Canis lupus familiaris: one gene and its partners. The protein of the gene in region 1 purifies or fractionates together with the protein of each later gene. This does not show direct contact. Links are inferred from orthologs where the notes say so. Each region holds a gene or a part of one and is shown on either strand. Other genes may lie near its edges.

Region 1 (5,806 bases):
AAGTATTGAAGTACAGTGAGTTTTGATTTGTGAATGGTTCTATTCAATAAAGATTAATTCTGTGTGTTTGATAAAATCTTAGTGCCTTCAATGAGTTAGTTTTTTCCTCCCTCTGCAGTTTATTTAACCATCAAATATTTCAGTGTTCTTTTAACAAACTGGAACATTTCTATCTTACTGAATTTAACTTTAGCATGACTGATTTAAACAAGTCAAACTATCAGTGATTAGTTAGAAGGGTGTAATTGAATAGATTAATTTTTATTCTTTTAGAATAACTAAAATGTATCATAATGTTATCATGTATATTTCATGCCTTCCTCATGATTGTGATCTGGAGACTGTCCTGAGATTCATACAGGCTAACAAAATATTTTTCTGTGATTTCTTTTAAATCTTTTGCATTTTAAAATATTTTTAAAATTTAAACATAAGTATTTAACAGTTTTTCATGTAAAGTTAGGGTTATTATAATTTAAAATAATTTATGAGTCTTTGGGAATTATATTGGCGCTTTTAACTTAATATATGTTGGAGTGCTCTTCTGTGTATGTTCTTGACTTTTAAATTGTCTCCCTGGCTTTTCGTATTTAGCTGTTAGAAGCAAGTTATAACGCTTTGACATTATTAGATCTTGTAACTATAAGGTTACTGATATATGGACCAGAGCTATTATTTTGGAATCAGTGTTTATACATCATGTTCAGTTACTATGGTCAGTTACAAAAGCTTTATGTAGAAATTTAATCAGCTGGTATATTGTCATAAATAAGTTCTTCATTGTAAGATACTCCAGGAGTCAGATATGTTATTTTCAACAGACTTTATTTATTATAAATAATGGATAGATTTTGAATAATGAGATTGAAAGTTCTTGTTTAATTCAAGATAAATCGTTGCTGAGAGAGCAAGGACACTGAAAATCTTTGTCTCTGTCTCTGTCTTTCTCACACACACACTTTTCACTCAGTGAGGTGAGCCAATTGGTCAGCGTGTGTTTTGTGCCTCATCTAGGAAAAGTCCAAATTACAGAAAAGTTATTTTACAACATTGGGGCACACACTTTTGATTTTTCATTAGGTTGTTTTGATTATCATTTATAAGAATTTAAGGCCCAAAGTGAGGTTTTAGACTTCAAATAGATTATGGGCTGGGGAAATGTTTGTAGTGTGATGACAACCTATACATAATGTTCACTACACACTTATAATTAGTTTGGTACAGTGGGTTCATCGTTTTCCAGGTGCTGAAATACTATTTGGGGGTGGGAGAGGCTAACCCCTACTCTTTAGAAGAGGAAGAATTAATTATGATGTCTAAAAATATATGACCTACGATAGATGATCTTTATCTATTTAGTTTACTATTATGCCTCATTTAGATACTTGGTCAGGTTTTGGAAACTACTGTAGAAATAGTTATTAAGGATGTCACGGAAATATTAGACCTCTCATAAGACAGGATAAAGAGCATTTTAACATATTTGTGACAGTATTAATGTCTTTGCTTCTAATGCTGAAGTACTCTTTGAAACTTGTGTTGCTCCCCATCTGGTTAGAAAAATGTATTTTTTTTTTCAAATAGTAATATTGTGAAAGAATAAGTTAACTGCTTGACATGCCTGTTTCAAGTTATTCCTTCATATAGCAATAGTTTTAACTATTTTTTTCCTTATCTCGTGTAGGAACAGCAAAAGTTACCATGTGTAAGCTGTAACTATAATAGGGACTGTAATGCAGCCTAGTTGTATATATGTTCTCCTTCCTTAATGGAGAAATTTTTAGAGTAATGTTTATTATCTACCATTACGTTTCAAAAAAATAATCTGTGATTATTATATCGTATGTGTTGTAACTGAGGGGGCCCACTTCCAACTACTGAGGGAGTCACTACAGCAATTTTACATTTTTTGGGGTAAAATACAAACTGCATTTCCTTACCTTTTTAAGAGAAACCATTTTTCTCCTTCAGGTTTAATTATTTCTCTTTGACCTAAACTAAGACTGATCCTCTGGTAGCCAGTTAAAATGTGTGAAGTAGGAGGAGTAAAGGAAACTCCAATCGTTAGTTGTAAGTTATAAAGCAAAGTTAATGCAGGTATACACAGCAAAAGGATTTATTTTAAAGGATAAAGGAAAATTTTATAAACTTGCCTTGTAGTTGGGACATGTTGGACGTCATAAAGAAAATCTTGTAAGTGTTTAGATATTTTACTATAATACTATGTCAGCTGATGAATATTGAAGTAGTTTACTTTTGTGTATCAACACTAATTTGAAATTGAATATTAAGGGACTATTTTATGCCTGTTTTCTTTCAAAGTTCAGCATGATTTAATAGGTATGGCTTTTAAAAATCATGCAGGGTATCCTTACGTAGTTTTATTTTTCATGAGACTAAATGGTATTCATTTTGGTAGGTCCAAGAATATGATTAAAAGAACGCTAGACATTTCAACATTTGCCGTGTGTTTACAACAAGTTTTCCATGTGGATAATAATGTGTAGATGTAAAATTAAAATTATGTAGAAAAATATAATTATATTTAAGTTTTTGGAGACTTCTGTGAACTTCTTAGTATCATGGATGTCCTGAGTAACTATAAAGAGCTTTCAAAAATGGCTTTTACATGCTTATAGTTTTGTATATGAATATATGCTTGAATTATATAAAGTTGTTTAGAAACAAACTTGCGCACTTATGATGCAGTTTAAAAGTACAAATAGATTTCTTTTAGTTGAGCTGGGTAAAATGTTAACTGTGCTGCAGGTTTATTTCTGCAGTAGAGCATAATGGTAGAGCATAATGTCGAGATAATTCTGTGGTCTGTTATTTTGTAAAATTGCTTCCTTTTTGAAGTTTGCTCAAATATAGGGAGCTGCCAGGGTGAATACTTCATAATACTTTGATTAATTTAGTGTCTCATTTTATTGCAGTGAGGGTTAAATGAGAATATTAAACTTTCCTTTACTGTTCTTTAACTGCCTGATTTCTACAGCTCTAGAAAACATTTTGACTAATGTGAGATAATGTAATTTTTTCTATTTCAAGTCATTACTCTGAGAAGTAGATAAGTTACAGATGCCAAATGCAAATATGTACAGCAATTTCATTTTTCAGTTTTTAGTGCAACAAAATAGCAGTATTATCATAACCTTTAGTATCATACAACGTTAGCCAGAAAAGCTAGCAGTTTATCCAAGAAACATACCTTTTTGTTTAACAGGTTCATCTCTCATAGTATTTTAAAATATGATAACACTTACCCCAAAAGAAGTTTTGCTGACATGGTGTCACTGTGCTGAAGAGGCTGTTTGATGCCATAGTCCCTCCTTTTTTTTCCAGATAGAACTTGTACCCTCTGTTGTAAATTCTGCTTGCAGCCTTAAACTGAAAATACAAACCATACCCAAACCTTGTTTTAGTTTTACAGTATGCCTGGAGTACATAGACTTTATATTTATTTTTTTCTGTCAAGAAATTATGTAGCTGGTAACATGTGAAAAGCAAGGAAACAAAACAAAAAGAGAATGAGCAAATATTTGAAGGACCTACTATTACTGCATAGACTGTGGTTAGAGAGCACTCACTGACTCTGTTGGTCTCGGTGGCTGGTAGTGACCTGCGGAGATTAACCATTTAAAAACCAGAGACTTCTTGCTGTCCTCCTGGAGAAAGTTTGCACCGCACTTGTGGTTCTGTGGTTGTTTGTGAGGCGAATGAAGCATTCACACAATCCAAAAAAGCAAAAGCTTTAAAACTCCTTTTTTTTGCAAGCACTATTACTGGAGAGACAGAATCATGTGGTTTGTGACCTCACAGTACTCAAAGTAAAGTGGGACTGCCTACCACTGTGGCTTTTCCCCCCTTGCTCTTGCTCTCTCTCTTTCACTGTCTCTCTCTCTCTCTTTCTCTCTGACAAAAGGCTTGTGGTAAGGCCCTTCCTGGCATCCAGAAGGATATAGCTTTTTAATTTTTGTGACTCATGAGGATTTGGATAGAATACAAATGCTGAAGGAGCCCAAACTCCTGTAAGGTTAAGCATTTGTAGAACAGAACTCTGCAGTTAAGGTTTTCCTTTCTATTCCCTGACCCCCATATTTTTTTTTTTTTTGCCTCCTTTTATTTAGTTCATTATTGTGTCTGTGGAAAAGAACAAAATTGGCTCAAGAGGCTGTGTGAAATTCTGAACAACAGTGATGATTTACAATAATTTACATCTTTGGATTGTATCACATTCTGGGGTCTGCTTCATATTTGCTGGGTGATTTGAGTCCTTCTGTTTTTCTTTTTCTTGTCTTCTTAAACTTGTGAATCTGTAAGTCATTGTAAAAAAGTTTACCTTTCTTAAGGTCTGGTTGCAAACTGCTTGCTGGGCTTGACTGTAATTGGCTGTCATGAAAGTGTTAGTCTGGAGATTCCTTTACAAATACTAAATCATGTCTGTCTGGTTAATGTATGATCAATATTAGATGCTGGCTCCTACAATAAAGATTGAATGTAATAGTATCTTTTGTATTGTGTATATGTTTATCTCATGACCAGTTTGAGGATCTGATAAAAAGTGAATGGTAAGAATTTTGATACACTTTGTTGGATGAATCTTAGTTTTTTTTTTTTATGCTTGTAATTTTGATTTTTCAAGGGAATGAATTTATCCTATATAATTCTTTAAATAATTTATTTGGATGTTAACTTTAACAGAGCCTTTGATAGCAAATCTTACACATCTATAAAGTAAAATTCTTATGTTATAACTTAGAATGTTCAATGTTACTGGCTTTATAAGCTCAGAATAGAGTGGGTTAACAGAAGCTGTAGTTTTTGTTTATAATGGAAGCTTTGAAATAAATTACAAAATGCTGTGTGTAGTAAGGAATAATGCACACAGACAGAGTATGTAGTCGTCTCGATTTGCTAATTCTGATTCAGAAGAAAATTGGAAACATCTTTGGGAAACTATCTCCTTTTTTGCCCCTTTGGACATGTATGTATAGAACTCATTTTCTTATTAGGATGATTATATATCATAGGCAGAGAATTTCATATTTATGAATAGAGCTTCCTGTTTTCATCAGTTGGGAGCGATGGGGTATTTTTCAACAAAAATTATAAAGCCGAACAGAACAATTTTCTAGGCTTTTTTTCTTTTTTCTTTTTTCTTTTTTTGCCATTTATCCACGCCACTCTGAATTTGCATGTTAGACTTCTTCCTAGTGTGATAGTAACAAGGAGTGGCGTGAAGTAAATGACTGGGAGTGTGGGCGGAGACCGTGAATTACAAAACATTATTTGGGGTGTATAATGGGGTTGGGGCTAGAAAACACTGAGGGTGGTGTTACAGCCAAAATATTCCCACTTCTGGTCTTCCTAGCAGAGTTTATTATCTGCTTTTGGTTTTTATTAGATAAAGATAAATGTACAAACACGTTCATAAGTTTCTTTACAAAAACTTCATGTGCCCAAAATATACTGGGGAGACATGAAAATGACTTCAATCCTTTATTATCCCAACCCTAGAACTTTTTCATAATAAACTTTTACTGATAGAAAACCAAAAATATATTTTAGTGTTTTATTTTCAATACAGATTTATTATGCCTCGTGGTGTGTATAAACAGGTTTTACATTGAAAAGTAAAAGCTTTCATTGAATGTGCAAGCTATTCAGTTATTCTCTTTCATAAATAAGGTGTACCAGTGTGATCTGTATTTTGAATTAATTTCCAGAGTAAATTAAAGGAGAGATTTGTCCGTATAATTTGTGGAGTTTCCAAACATAGTGCCATATGCACATACAATAGCAG
Region 2 (5,614 bases), on another chromosome or scaffold:
GAGGGGGGTCTTCCAGTGTCACTGCCCTTGGTGGTGTTGACCTAGAAAGATGGGGTTGAGGGGATGGGTACTTGTCTTCCTGCCTCTTGAGCCCTTACCCGCTTCTGATCCCGAGGAGGCATTGGTCTTTGATGCTGCCTGTTGTTCATCTGTAGGCAAGACAAGCTTGTGTGATTTGGCTGTGCCTGCCCCCTGTGCCCCTGCCACCCGGGGCGGGGGCTGTAGCATCTCACAGATAATCCAGTTTTCCCCTGGTTCCCAGCACAGGGTCCCTATATTCATTGATGACTTTTTGCCAAATCCCAGGATGCCATGTTCTAGCCCTCATCTTGCGTGGCCTTTCCCCAGTATTGACTCAGTCCACCAACCCCTTCTAGAAGTACCTTGTCCCAGAACCACACGCTCCGGTTACCTGTCCACTGTCCTGGCCCCTCATCCTTTAACTCCTGGGCAGATATTATCTCATCTCCCCTATACCTCAGCATTGAGGTGTCCCCAGGGCTGGGCCCTTGGATGCCTTCTCATTCTTGTTGACTCCCGTGGCGATCTCAGTGGCCCCATCTCATCCATTCACAATCCAGAACAGCATCTTGGTTCTGCTCCCATTCAGATTTCTAGCTCTAGCCCAGATCTTGCCTGATTCCACATTCAAGAGCCAGCTGCTTGTTTTGGGTCCTTGCCTGGGTGTTTAGTAGGCACCTCAGACTTGAGTGTCTGAAACTGGACTCTTGGTTGCCCGTACCAACCCAGACTCAGTGCTTCCACCATCCTCTGAAGCCCCGATTCGCCCTTGAAATCCTGTCTCCATAGCCCATTCTCCCAACTAGCAAATGCCATCAGCTGCCCGGCAAAGCATGCGCAGAAGGAGGAGTCCCTTCTGAGTGATGAAAACGTTCTAACATGGGTTCAAGGTGACGCTTGCACATCTTGGTAAATTTACTAGAAATTCACTGACTTGTGCATTTCTGAAGGGTAAAAGGCCGTGTGCTCAGTAAAGTTAGTTATTAAGTATGTGTAGAGCTTGGCTACTCCCCCTCTCCGTCAGTGACGACGGCAGCCCGGCCACCACTGGCTCGCACCTAGAACCCGCAGGCACCTCCCCACCTGTTCCTTGCTTCTGTTGTAGCCCCCTGTTCCAGCTCAGCCCAGAAGCCAGAGTCTGGTTCATAGGTAGTGTCCCCCAACACCCAAAGGTCCACGCCTTAATTCAGAATCTGTGAGTATGTGACCTAACGTGGCCAAAGGGACCTTGTAGGTGTGATTAAGGATCTTGAGATGGATGATGATCTTGAATTACCCAGGTGGGTCCAGTGGAATCATAAGGGTCCTTCAGATGGGGAGGCAGGAGGGTCAGAGTGGAAGAAGGAGTCGTGAGTACAGCTGCAGTGACTGATGGCTTTGAAGACAGGGGGACCTGGCGGCTGGGAAAGGCCGGGAGCAGATTCTCCCCTGGAGCCGCCAGAACCGTGGGATAAATCTGTGTTGTTTGGAGCCACTAAGTGTGTAGGAAGAGCCACAGGAGATGAATGCACGTGATGACCTTGTGGCGCTCCTGGAGCCCGGGCTCAGCTTTTCTGCTTCCTATCACTGTGACCTGGGCAGATTGCTCTGCTTCCCCACCTGTCCGTTTTGCACATCGGTTAAATGGGGATTAGCAGGCGGTTAGCAGTGTCCGTGTGTCCCGCTTGCTGCGTGGTTCACGCACTCGTTTCCTTTGTGGTCGCCTCCCCTCCAGGCTGTGCGCTCCGTGGAGGGCGGGTCTGGGGGCTTGTTGTGCCTGTCCCCTGCGGACTGTCTGGAGAGGCTCCAGAAGGCTGGGCGTCAGCCAGCACTCATGTGCTCAGTGTGTGAGCCTGTGGGCTGTCCCTGGGCTGGTTTTCCAGGGTGAGCACGTCCACTGTCGCCAGAGCTGGCAAAATGGCTCTGGCCACGTTCAGAGCTGAAGAAACGCCTGGTGTGACTATGTGGCCCACAGAGTGGGTGGGTCCCCAGGACCCCGGAGCATGCAGGTGCCCCCGCGGGCTTGCTGGAGGTGAGCCCAGGCTGCGGGACTTCCTCCTCGAGGGCCTGGGCCCGAGGGGGGCACATTTCAGTGGCTGGCTGGAGGCGGCGGGCAGGAGGCCCACCTCAGGCGCGCCTGGCAGCGGCGGGGGACTTGGGTGTCGGGTGGAGCGTGTTCTTTATCAGCTCCCACCGAGGAGGAGTCCACGGCACTTGCGCCCAGTGAGCAGCGTCTGTCCCCTTGGCTGTGGGTGCTTAGGACCCTCGTCTGCCCCTGGGCCGCACTTCGAAGGATGTTCTCTGGTGGGTTGGGGGCCGCTGAGCGGTGCTAGGCCCTGCCTCCCTCCTCCTCCCTCAGCATCGGGGCCACCTTCATGTTCCCCGCACTTTTCTGGGTTCGGGGCCAGGGGGCATAGGGAGCAGCTGGGCCACCCAGCCACCTCCCAGCCCTTGCATTTTCGGGGGTGGGGTGTGAGGGGCAGCAGACAGTGCACTTCTGCGGGCTGTGCAGAGGGCGCTTTTTTGTTTTTCACGGTAGAGGCTTTCCTCAGTGTTCGGCCCGTATCCAAGGGTGAGTCTCCACGAAGCTGGGCGGGTGTGTTGGCGGGACCCGTCCTCTGGCCGGTCGCTGGGCAGGGGCCTGGCGCTTCCTCGGGCCCTGGTGCCATGACCTGGCCCTTCCCTCCTGGGCTCTCGGCTCCTCCCTGGGGCGCAGGCCCGGCCCCCGCACTCCGGCCTGCAGTGTATCAGCTGTCACTGCTCCTGCCTCGGGCCAGCACCCAGCTCCCGCCCTCCGCTCGGCGCTGCTCTGGGAGTCCCTGCGTGCGGGGGGCGGGCGGGCCGTGGGGTCAAAGGCTGCCCGTAGCGCGGCCTCCCCGGCCCCGAGGTCCCTGGCCGTCCTGGCTTCCGGGCCGGGTCCTTCTTCACTCTGCATCGCCGGGCCCCTTCCCAGCTCCCAGAATCCTGCGGCTCTTGTCTCCTCGCACGATCTGCTCCTGGGAAGGATTTCGGTCATTTGGCTGTCCCCAGAGTGGAGTCTTCGGAGGAGGAGGGTAAGTGCCAGCAGCCCGTGTTCCTCACAAGCCGTTCTTCAAGAATCAAGAACGAACCCTCCTCGGCTCAGCCAGGCGGCGACTGGGTGGAAAGGCCTCTTAACCTTGTGTTTTCACAATCTAAGTTAAAGATTAATTGGACTCCTAATAATCCTGCAGAAATTCTCGACATCTCAGTTCGCATTCCCTTTCATCCATTTCTTCTTAAGAAAGCCCTGTCGCCGGACTTCAGAATTGAAATCTGCGTGGAGCAGATAACTGTCCGCCCCCACGCCTTCCGTGGTCACTTTAGGAACCGGCAGAGGCTGCACGAGCGGTTTTCAGCCGCCAAGGAGATTATTTTCGAAATGACCCTGCAGTCCGTGAAATGACTTCTTTGAAACAGGAGGCTGAGGAGGTCGGGCTGCCTGTACTCAGGTCGGGGTGTGAGCTCGGCGTCCCCAGGGGGCCCACCCGCTCCCCACCGGGTTCTCACCGGGGCACGGCGCCACCGCCTTGTTTGCTCGTCTTCCCACTCCGGTGGCGGGAGCAGCTGGTGTACAGGTCGGGGGGGCAGGTAACGTGCTGGATCCTGGGGACGGGGTGTGGCCAGTGTCCGCCGGGGCGCAAAGCGGTTTTTGCAGCCCAAGCTGCCGGGTCACTGGGTCAGGGCCCACAGCCCCCACGGAGGCCCAGCACAGGTGCCCTGCGCTGGCCGGCAGCCCCCTCGCTCAGGTTACGCAGCGTGACTGGACATGCTTTGAAGGCAGGTGTCCCCAAAGGTACTGTCCAGGAAGGGAAAGCTCTGAGCTTTCGACCTCCTCATCCACACGCAGGGCCGGCCCGGGGGGGGGTCGGGGGGTCCTGGCCCATCCTGGGGGACCGTCGCACTCCCGGAGAAGCGGCCGCGCCAGGCCCTCGGGAGGGCAGAGCATTCGGTCCTCCTGGCTTTCTGGAAGCTGGATTTTGTACCGGAGGGCAGCAGATCTGTGCTGATCCTACGAAAAGAAGGAAGACAGAGGAAACATGGTTATTTCCCCGTCAGAAATTTTCATTTAAAACTGATTCATACAGGTCAGTTTAAATGGACTTTAAGACGAAGTTTCCCGTGAGGAAGTGACGGTGGCCGAGTGGAGCTGGGTGAGTGGGTCGGGCCATCGTGCTTCCTCGTCCTGGCTCTGTAGCCCCAGGAGTCCTTCATCCCTCCCGTCAAGAACTAGGTCTTAGCAAGCCAACGCCTGCGCCCCTTGGGGTGACATTTTACCATAGGAAGGGGCCCCGCATTGGTGGGGTGAGGCTGAGAGGCTGGGCCCAGGCTGGGGACACCTGCAGGGGGCAGGGGGCCAGCACGGTCCCCCGGGGAGGGCCTTGCCCCGTGCCCCACCTCCCCGCCACCTGCACCCACCCGGACCGCGTGTGAACCTTCTTGACACGTGAAGTGCCCTCTGTCCCTGAGAAGGCTGGGAGGTAGGATTTGGGAACGCCGGTCCATCCTCTATCGCCAGGAGACCCAAGAGCCCCGGGTGTATCACTCCAGGTGCAAAGTGGAGTGAGACACTGTCCCGGGCGGGTTTCTGCACGGCTCACCTGCCCCCGGGGCCCCGGGCCTCTTGCCCAGAGGCCAGTAGGGGATGCGGGGAGTCGCGGCCCGCACCCGACGCACCCTGTCCTCACTTTAGTGTTTGTCCCTGACTGGCTTTCTTTGAGAAACTAGGCGGGCCATAGGCGTGCGCTGCCTGGAGCGGTGCTGTCGCACCGGGACGGGCACCGGCGGCCTGTCGTCCTCTTGCTCCGGGGCGTGTGTCTGGCTGAGCAGACTCACCCTGTCCATCCCCGTGCTGCTCTGCCGGTGGCTCCTTGGACGGCTGCGGCTGGCCCTGCTCTTGCCCACGCGCAGGGATTTCCCACGTACGGAGACCACACTCGGGCCTGCAGTTCCTGGGTCCCAGGACCCAGATTCGGCCTCCCGAGGGCAAGCCTGTGACCCCCGAAGGGCCTCCTCGTCATGCCGCCGGCGGCTCCCGCGCCCCCGGGGGCTCGTGGTGTCCTGCGGGCTCGCCTGGGTCACGCAGGTGCCGCGGCCGTCAGGAGCCCTCCTTCCTGAGAAGCCTGTTCATCTTATTCCACTTTCCCCATTCTCCGCTGGAGGTCTGGAGCGTCTCCTTGGCCGGCGGAGACCGAGGCCTCGGGCGCCTCCGCGCAGGGCCCGCGAGCGTCGCCAGGGCTCAGCCTCCCCGGTAAACGGTGTCCGACAGCAGCAGTCCTGCCTGGAAATGTCGCCCGGCGGATCCACCTTGTCCGGGCGTTGGCGCTTCTGGCCTCTTGAGTTGTTCTCGAGCTTTGCCTTCCACGTTTGAGCCTGAATTCCTGCAGAATTCACTTTGGGCTGCGGTGAGTGGGGGCGGCTTCCGTCCTGTTGACACCTGCGCCCGGCAGTGTCCGGGGTCGCCGCACCCGGGGACGGGCTGCGCGGGCTGCGGGCAGGGGCACCTGCTCTGCTCCGGGGTCCCTCCTGCCCCGTCCTTGATCCCGGGGCCCGCCCCGGGGGCCCATGCGCCGCGCCCACAGCTCAGCCTGCAGAG
Region 3 (4,355 bases), on another chromosome or scaffold:
GCAGTCAAACCTTTGTTTTTCACTTTATTGTACAAAAAGAGGGAAAACAAAACTTCTACAGTTGGCCTTAAGCTTAGGCAGACACCTCTAAGACACTCCCTCCCACCTCCCATGATACAAATTCAAGTTGTGGTTGTTGTTGAAACCTACAAAAACACTCCTTAAATATTAGAAAAAAAGGGGAGAGAGTGGGGAGGGTCCTCCCACTCCAACCATCCCATCCCAGTGCCAAAATGCACTCAGAGTGACCTCTTACAGCACCAACACCCCCATCCCCACAGCCCTGTTCGTACTGTAAGAATTTTTGATTTTTAAAACACGAAAAAAAGAAGTGCCCCATTCAAAGTTGTCTTTAAATGAAAACACATTCCACTAAAACACAACAGTGTAGGGGCATTCAGACAGGAAAATGGGGTTCTTTGCAGAGGCTCTTGGGGAAGAAATAGAACCTATGAACCCCTGTGTCAGGGTCAGGACAAAGGAAGGGGAGTGGGAGAGGGGAGTGTCCCCCCAGGTTCCCCACCCCCAGCACCACTTCCGAGGCAAAGCAGATTGTTTGCTTTCCTTTGGGGGTGGGACCTACCTTTCCCATCCCACCTCCTGGGTGGAATTCCCATTCTTCCCCCATCCCTTGGCTTTCATTCAGAGGGGGAAGGCGGAAAAGCACAAAGCCCCCACTAAATAGGTCATTAACATGATTGTAAGAAAAAAAAGCCAAAATTTAATAAAAAATAAAAAATTTCAATCCACAGAGATAAGGTGGCTTGGCTTATTAAGGGTCTAGGGATTAGGTTACCAGACATTTGGAGATGGCCAGGAAGGGTTAGGACAGCTGCAAAAGCAGCCTTTGCAGACCCCTTCCCCACCTGGGGGTTTGGAGGGGCGGGGAAGGGAGCAGACCTGAGAAATCAAAGGGAATGGGGTGGGGGTGTGGGGGAGCTGAAGGATACAGGGAAAGGCAGGAGGGGTGTGTGTTAAGAGCTTCCCATCTATCTCCCCAAGCCCAGTTTCTGAGCCTAAGGTGGCCAGGCAACCTCCCAGATGAACTGGGAAGGCCCTTCCCACTAAATAAAAGCTCTTTTAGGTGCACCCAGTCTGTCCCCCTCCCAATGCCCCACTGGAGACCAGCGGTGGCTCAGAGTCATGTAGCCCTGGCAGAGAGAAGCAGATATACAGGAAGCATTAGAGTGGTCAGTACACCGCCCCCCCCCCCCCCCCCACAATTGAATCAGAGATTAGGCAAAGCAGAGAATGTGGAGAAAGGGGCTGCCCCAGCCTGTTCCCACCAGGATCAACATCTCCCTGGCCCTTAGCAACCCATTCACCAGATTCAGACTGAGGTGGGCTCCCCCTTCTCTTACACACGCGCGCGCACACACACATGCACACACGCCTTTGCACACATCCACAGGTGCACCCATGCTATGTACAGGCGACACACGCTCCCGCGCACGCACTTTTCCATTCACATCAAGACCGTTTTTAAAAAGTCCCAAACCTACCCCCTAAACCCTCCCTCTCCCAGAAATGACAACAGAGACGGCAGCCGAGATCGGTAGGAAACGTCTCGTTGACAGCTCAGAGCTTAAAAAAAAAAATATATACACATATATAAAAAACACTTCTGCCCCCTCCCCCCCATGAGTGGGTCCAGGCAGCTCCTTCCTGCAGAGGGCAGGGGAGAGGGCTATGGGGCGGCGCCTGTTCTCTCTGAGGCTCCTGCCCTCCTCTCCCCCCACGTGTTCCCTGCCTCCAGTTCCAATGCAGGGGTCCAGTCGGCAAGCCCCTCCAGGACAGGAAGGGTCTTCCCCAAGCTTCCACCCTCCCATGGGTCGGGCTGCAGGTGTGGAGGGCCTCACTGAACTCTTTGGGACCCCCCACCCCACTCCCAGGTCCATTGTCCATGACGGAACCCCAAGTGCAGAAGAGGGGTGGGCCGGGCCGGTCCAGTGGTGGCTCAGTCTGATGGTTGCACTCCCTGGAGGGCCCCCCAGGGCTGATGTCTCTGAGGCTGCAGAGTCCTGGCCTGGGCTCCTCCAGCCCCTCCCCCACCGAATTAAAAAAAAAAAGAAAAAGAAAAAGAAAGAAAGTGGGGGAGGCCAGGGGCAGGGGACAGAACATGGGGGAGAAACAAAGGTGGTCAGTTGGGGAGGGGAGCCCTGGGTGGGATGAGTCTCAGTTGGAGTCAGAGTCCGAGGAGTCCCCCGAGGAGGAGGAGCTAGAGCTGCTGCCCTCAGACTCATTGTCCTCATCCTCATCGTCGTCCTCATCATCGTCCTCATCCTCATCATCCTCCTCGTTCTGGGGGGGGCAAGGAATGCGGTCACCAGGTGGCAGTCCTGGTAAGGGCCACCCTGCCCTCCCACCACGCCCTGCTGCCTGACCTCATCTCCGTCCTCACTCTCGTCCTCGCTGCTGGACTCGGAGGAGTCCCCACCATCCTCAGAGGAATCCCCGTTCTCATCATCCTCCTCCTCTTCGTCCTCATCCTCATCCTCCTCATCCTCTTCATCATCCTCCTCAGACTCCTGGGAGGGGCAGAGGCATGTCAGTGGTCTGTGCCACACTCCTCCAGGCACCGAGGACCCCCCCCTCCATCTTGGAGGAGCTCCTTACCGACTTGGACTGCAAGGCAGTCCTGCTGGATTTGGGGTTTGGGCCTCGAAGCTTGGTCATGCTCTTACGTTTCTGCAGGGAAGGGGAACACAGACGAAGGGAGAAGCCAGGAGTTCCAGACAGTGGACCCCCAAACCCCCCCTTTCCCCAGCACCACCCTGCTCCCACACTCACATTGGAGATGTACTCTTTATACGCTGCACGGTCCTGAGGAGACAAACTCTGGGAGACAGAGAAGGAGGTAAAGGTTGGAACGCCACCCAAACTACTGCTGATGGGAGTGTGTTGACCAAAAGCCAGGCAGTGGGTTAAGCATTTACATACCATTACCCCATTCTACTCCTGCCACTCTCCCCATACCTTGGGTCTCTGCAGAGTGCCCCCCAGGATCTGCGAAGACAGTCCAGGACTAATGCCTAAGAAGCCCTGAATTCTTTTCTAAGCTACCCTGTATTAGGACTGTGGTTTTCATGTCCCTCCTACTGTTCTACAGTCAAGGGGAGGCTCCAGAGTTAGGGCCTTCCTCAGCAGAGAAGCCCCCTACAATGACTATCATAGCTTGGTATCATCACTCCCACCCAACAAGCCTAGAGCCACTGATAAAGGAGTCTGTGGCTCCCCAAAACCTCTAGACACTTAAACCCTGCTATCTCCCAGGGTCCCTGGCTAACTTGCCTGGATAGCTGGGGGCGAAAGAGGTGGCTCTCCCCACGTTATAAACCTGACTGCTCAACCAAGGCGCCCAAGAAGAGCTCGGAGGCTTGAGGCCAAACCAGAGTCTGGGAGACGCCCTCTGGTCCCAGCTGGAGGTAGGACAAGGCAATCTGGCTTGGATTACTCTATTTACTAGCTGTGTAACCTTGGGTAAATTACTTAATCTCTCTGAACCTTAGTTTCTTTTCTTTGATATTGATCATAGGACTGCTAGGACAATGAATGGAATCGTGGAGGCAGGCCAGCCAGATGCTGCCTCCTCCTTCCAAGGGTCCCCAGCCCTCTCACCTTTTTTTTCTTAAGATTTTATTTGTTTATTCATGAGAGACTGAAAGAGGCAGAGACCTAGGCAGAGGGAGAAGCAGACTCCCTGAGGGGAGCCCAATGCAGGACTTGATCCCAGGACCCCAGGATCACACCCGGAGCCAAAGGCAGATGCCCAACCACTGAGCCACCCAGGTACCCCCACCCCAGCCCTCTCACCTTGACCCAGAGGTCCAGATGTACTTTGTACTGCTTCTGCTGCTCCTCTGCCAATTTTTTGTAGTGCTCTTTCTGGCTCTGGGAGATGCGCTGCCAGCGGCTGCCAATCTCCACCATGCGCTCTTTCAGCGGCAGGTGGTTCAGCTCCCCATTGGACAGCAGCTCCTGGGAGAACTTCTGGTAACCGTTCCTAGGTGGTAGAGTGGCACAGGGAGGGTTAGGACGCCTACCCTACAGCCATCCAGCCATGACCCTTCCTGCGGCCAAGGTGGGTTCTAGCCCCCTTAGACTCACATGGGAGGCTTCTTGGGTTCTCCTTGAAACTTCATCTTCTTGGATGAGTTTGCAGCAGTTGGGGGTGCCCGCATCTCACTCAGCTCTCTCTGTGGGGACACTCAAAGGAGTCACGCTCACTCCACCCCTCACCCAAAATTATTTCTACCATCTGCCCCACGCCATCAGTTGCCTTAGAAACTGAGGCCGAGGGATTCCTGGGTGGCGCAGCGGTTTGGCGCCTGCCTTTGGCCCAGGGCGTGATCCTG

Evidence for each region.
Region 2: the proteins of RUNX2 (region 1) and HDAC4 purify together in Homo sapiens (affinity purification with western blotting; 3 studies listed by BioGRID). This does not show direct contact. The link is inferred for Canis lupus familiaris from reciprocal best matches to the Homo sapiens genes RUNX2 and HDAC4.
Region 3: the proteins of RUNX2 (region 1) and UBTF purify together in Homo sapiens (co-immunoprecipitation; 3 studies listed by BioGRID and IntAct, with this or other methods). This does not show direct contact. The link is inferred for Canis lupus familiaris from reciprocal best matches to the Homo sapiens genes RUNX2 and UBTF.

What each region holds. Positions count from the first base shown.
Region 1 is NC_049233.1:13,823,174-13,828,979, reverse strand, and holds the start of RUNX2 (runt-related transcription factor 2), read right to left. Parts: upstream 3,802-5,806; 5' UTR 3,729-3,801; coding exon 3,591-3,728; coding exon of another isoform or gene 3,556-3,590; intron 3,391-3,555; coding exon 3,267-3,390; intron 1-3,266. UniProt on the Homo sapiens protein: Transcription factor involved in osteoblastic differentiation and skeletal morphogenesis. Essential for the maturation of osteoblasts and both intramembranous and endochondral ossification.
Region 2 is NC_049246.1:49,716,821-49,722,434, reverse strand, and holds the start of HDAC4 (histone deacetylase 4), read left to right. Parts: upstream 1-1,902; 5' UTR 1,903-1,917; coding exon 1,918-2,032; intron 2,033-2,853; exon of another isoform or gene 2,854-3,053; intron 3,054-5,614. UniProt on the Homo sapiens protein: Responsible for the deacetylation of lysine residues on the N-terminal part of the core histones (H2A, H2B, H3 and H4).
Region 3 is NC_049230.1:19,064,055-19,068,409, reverse strand, and holds the end of UBTF (nucleolar transcription factor 1), read right to left. Parts: intron 4,197-4,355; coding exon 4,108-4,196; intron 4,004-4,107; coding exon 3,814-4,003; intron 2,839-3,813; coding exon 2,791-2,838; intron 2,689-2,790; coding exon 2,617-2,688; intron 2,529-2,616; coding exon 2,385-2,528; intron 2,302-2,384; coding exon 2,176-2,301; 3' UTR 1,553-2,175; downstream 1-1,552. UniProt on the Homo sapiens protein: Recognizes the ribosomal RNA gene promoter and activates transcription mediated by RNA polymerase I (Pol I) through cooperative interactions with the transcription factor SL1/TIF-IB complex.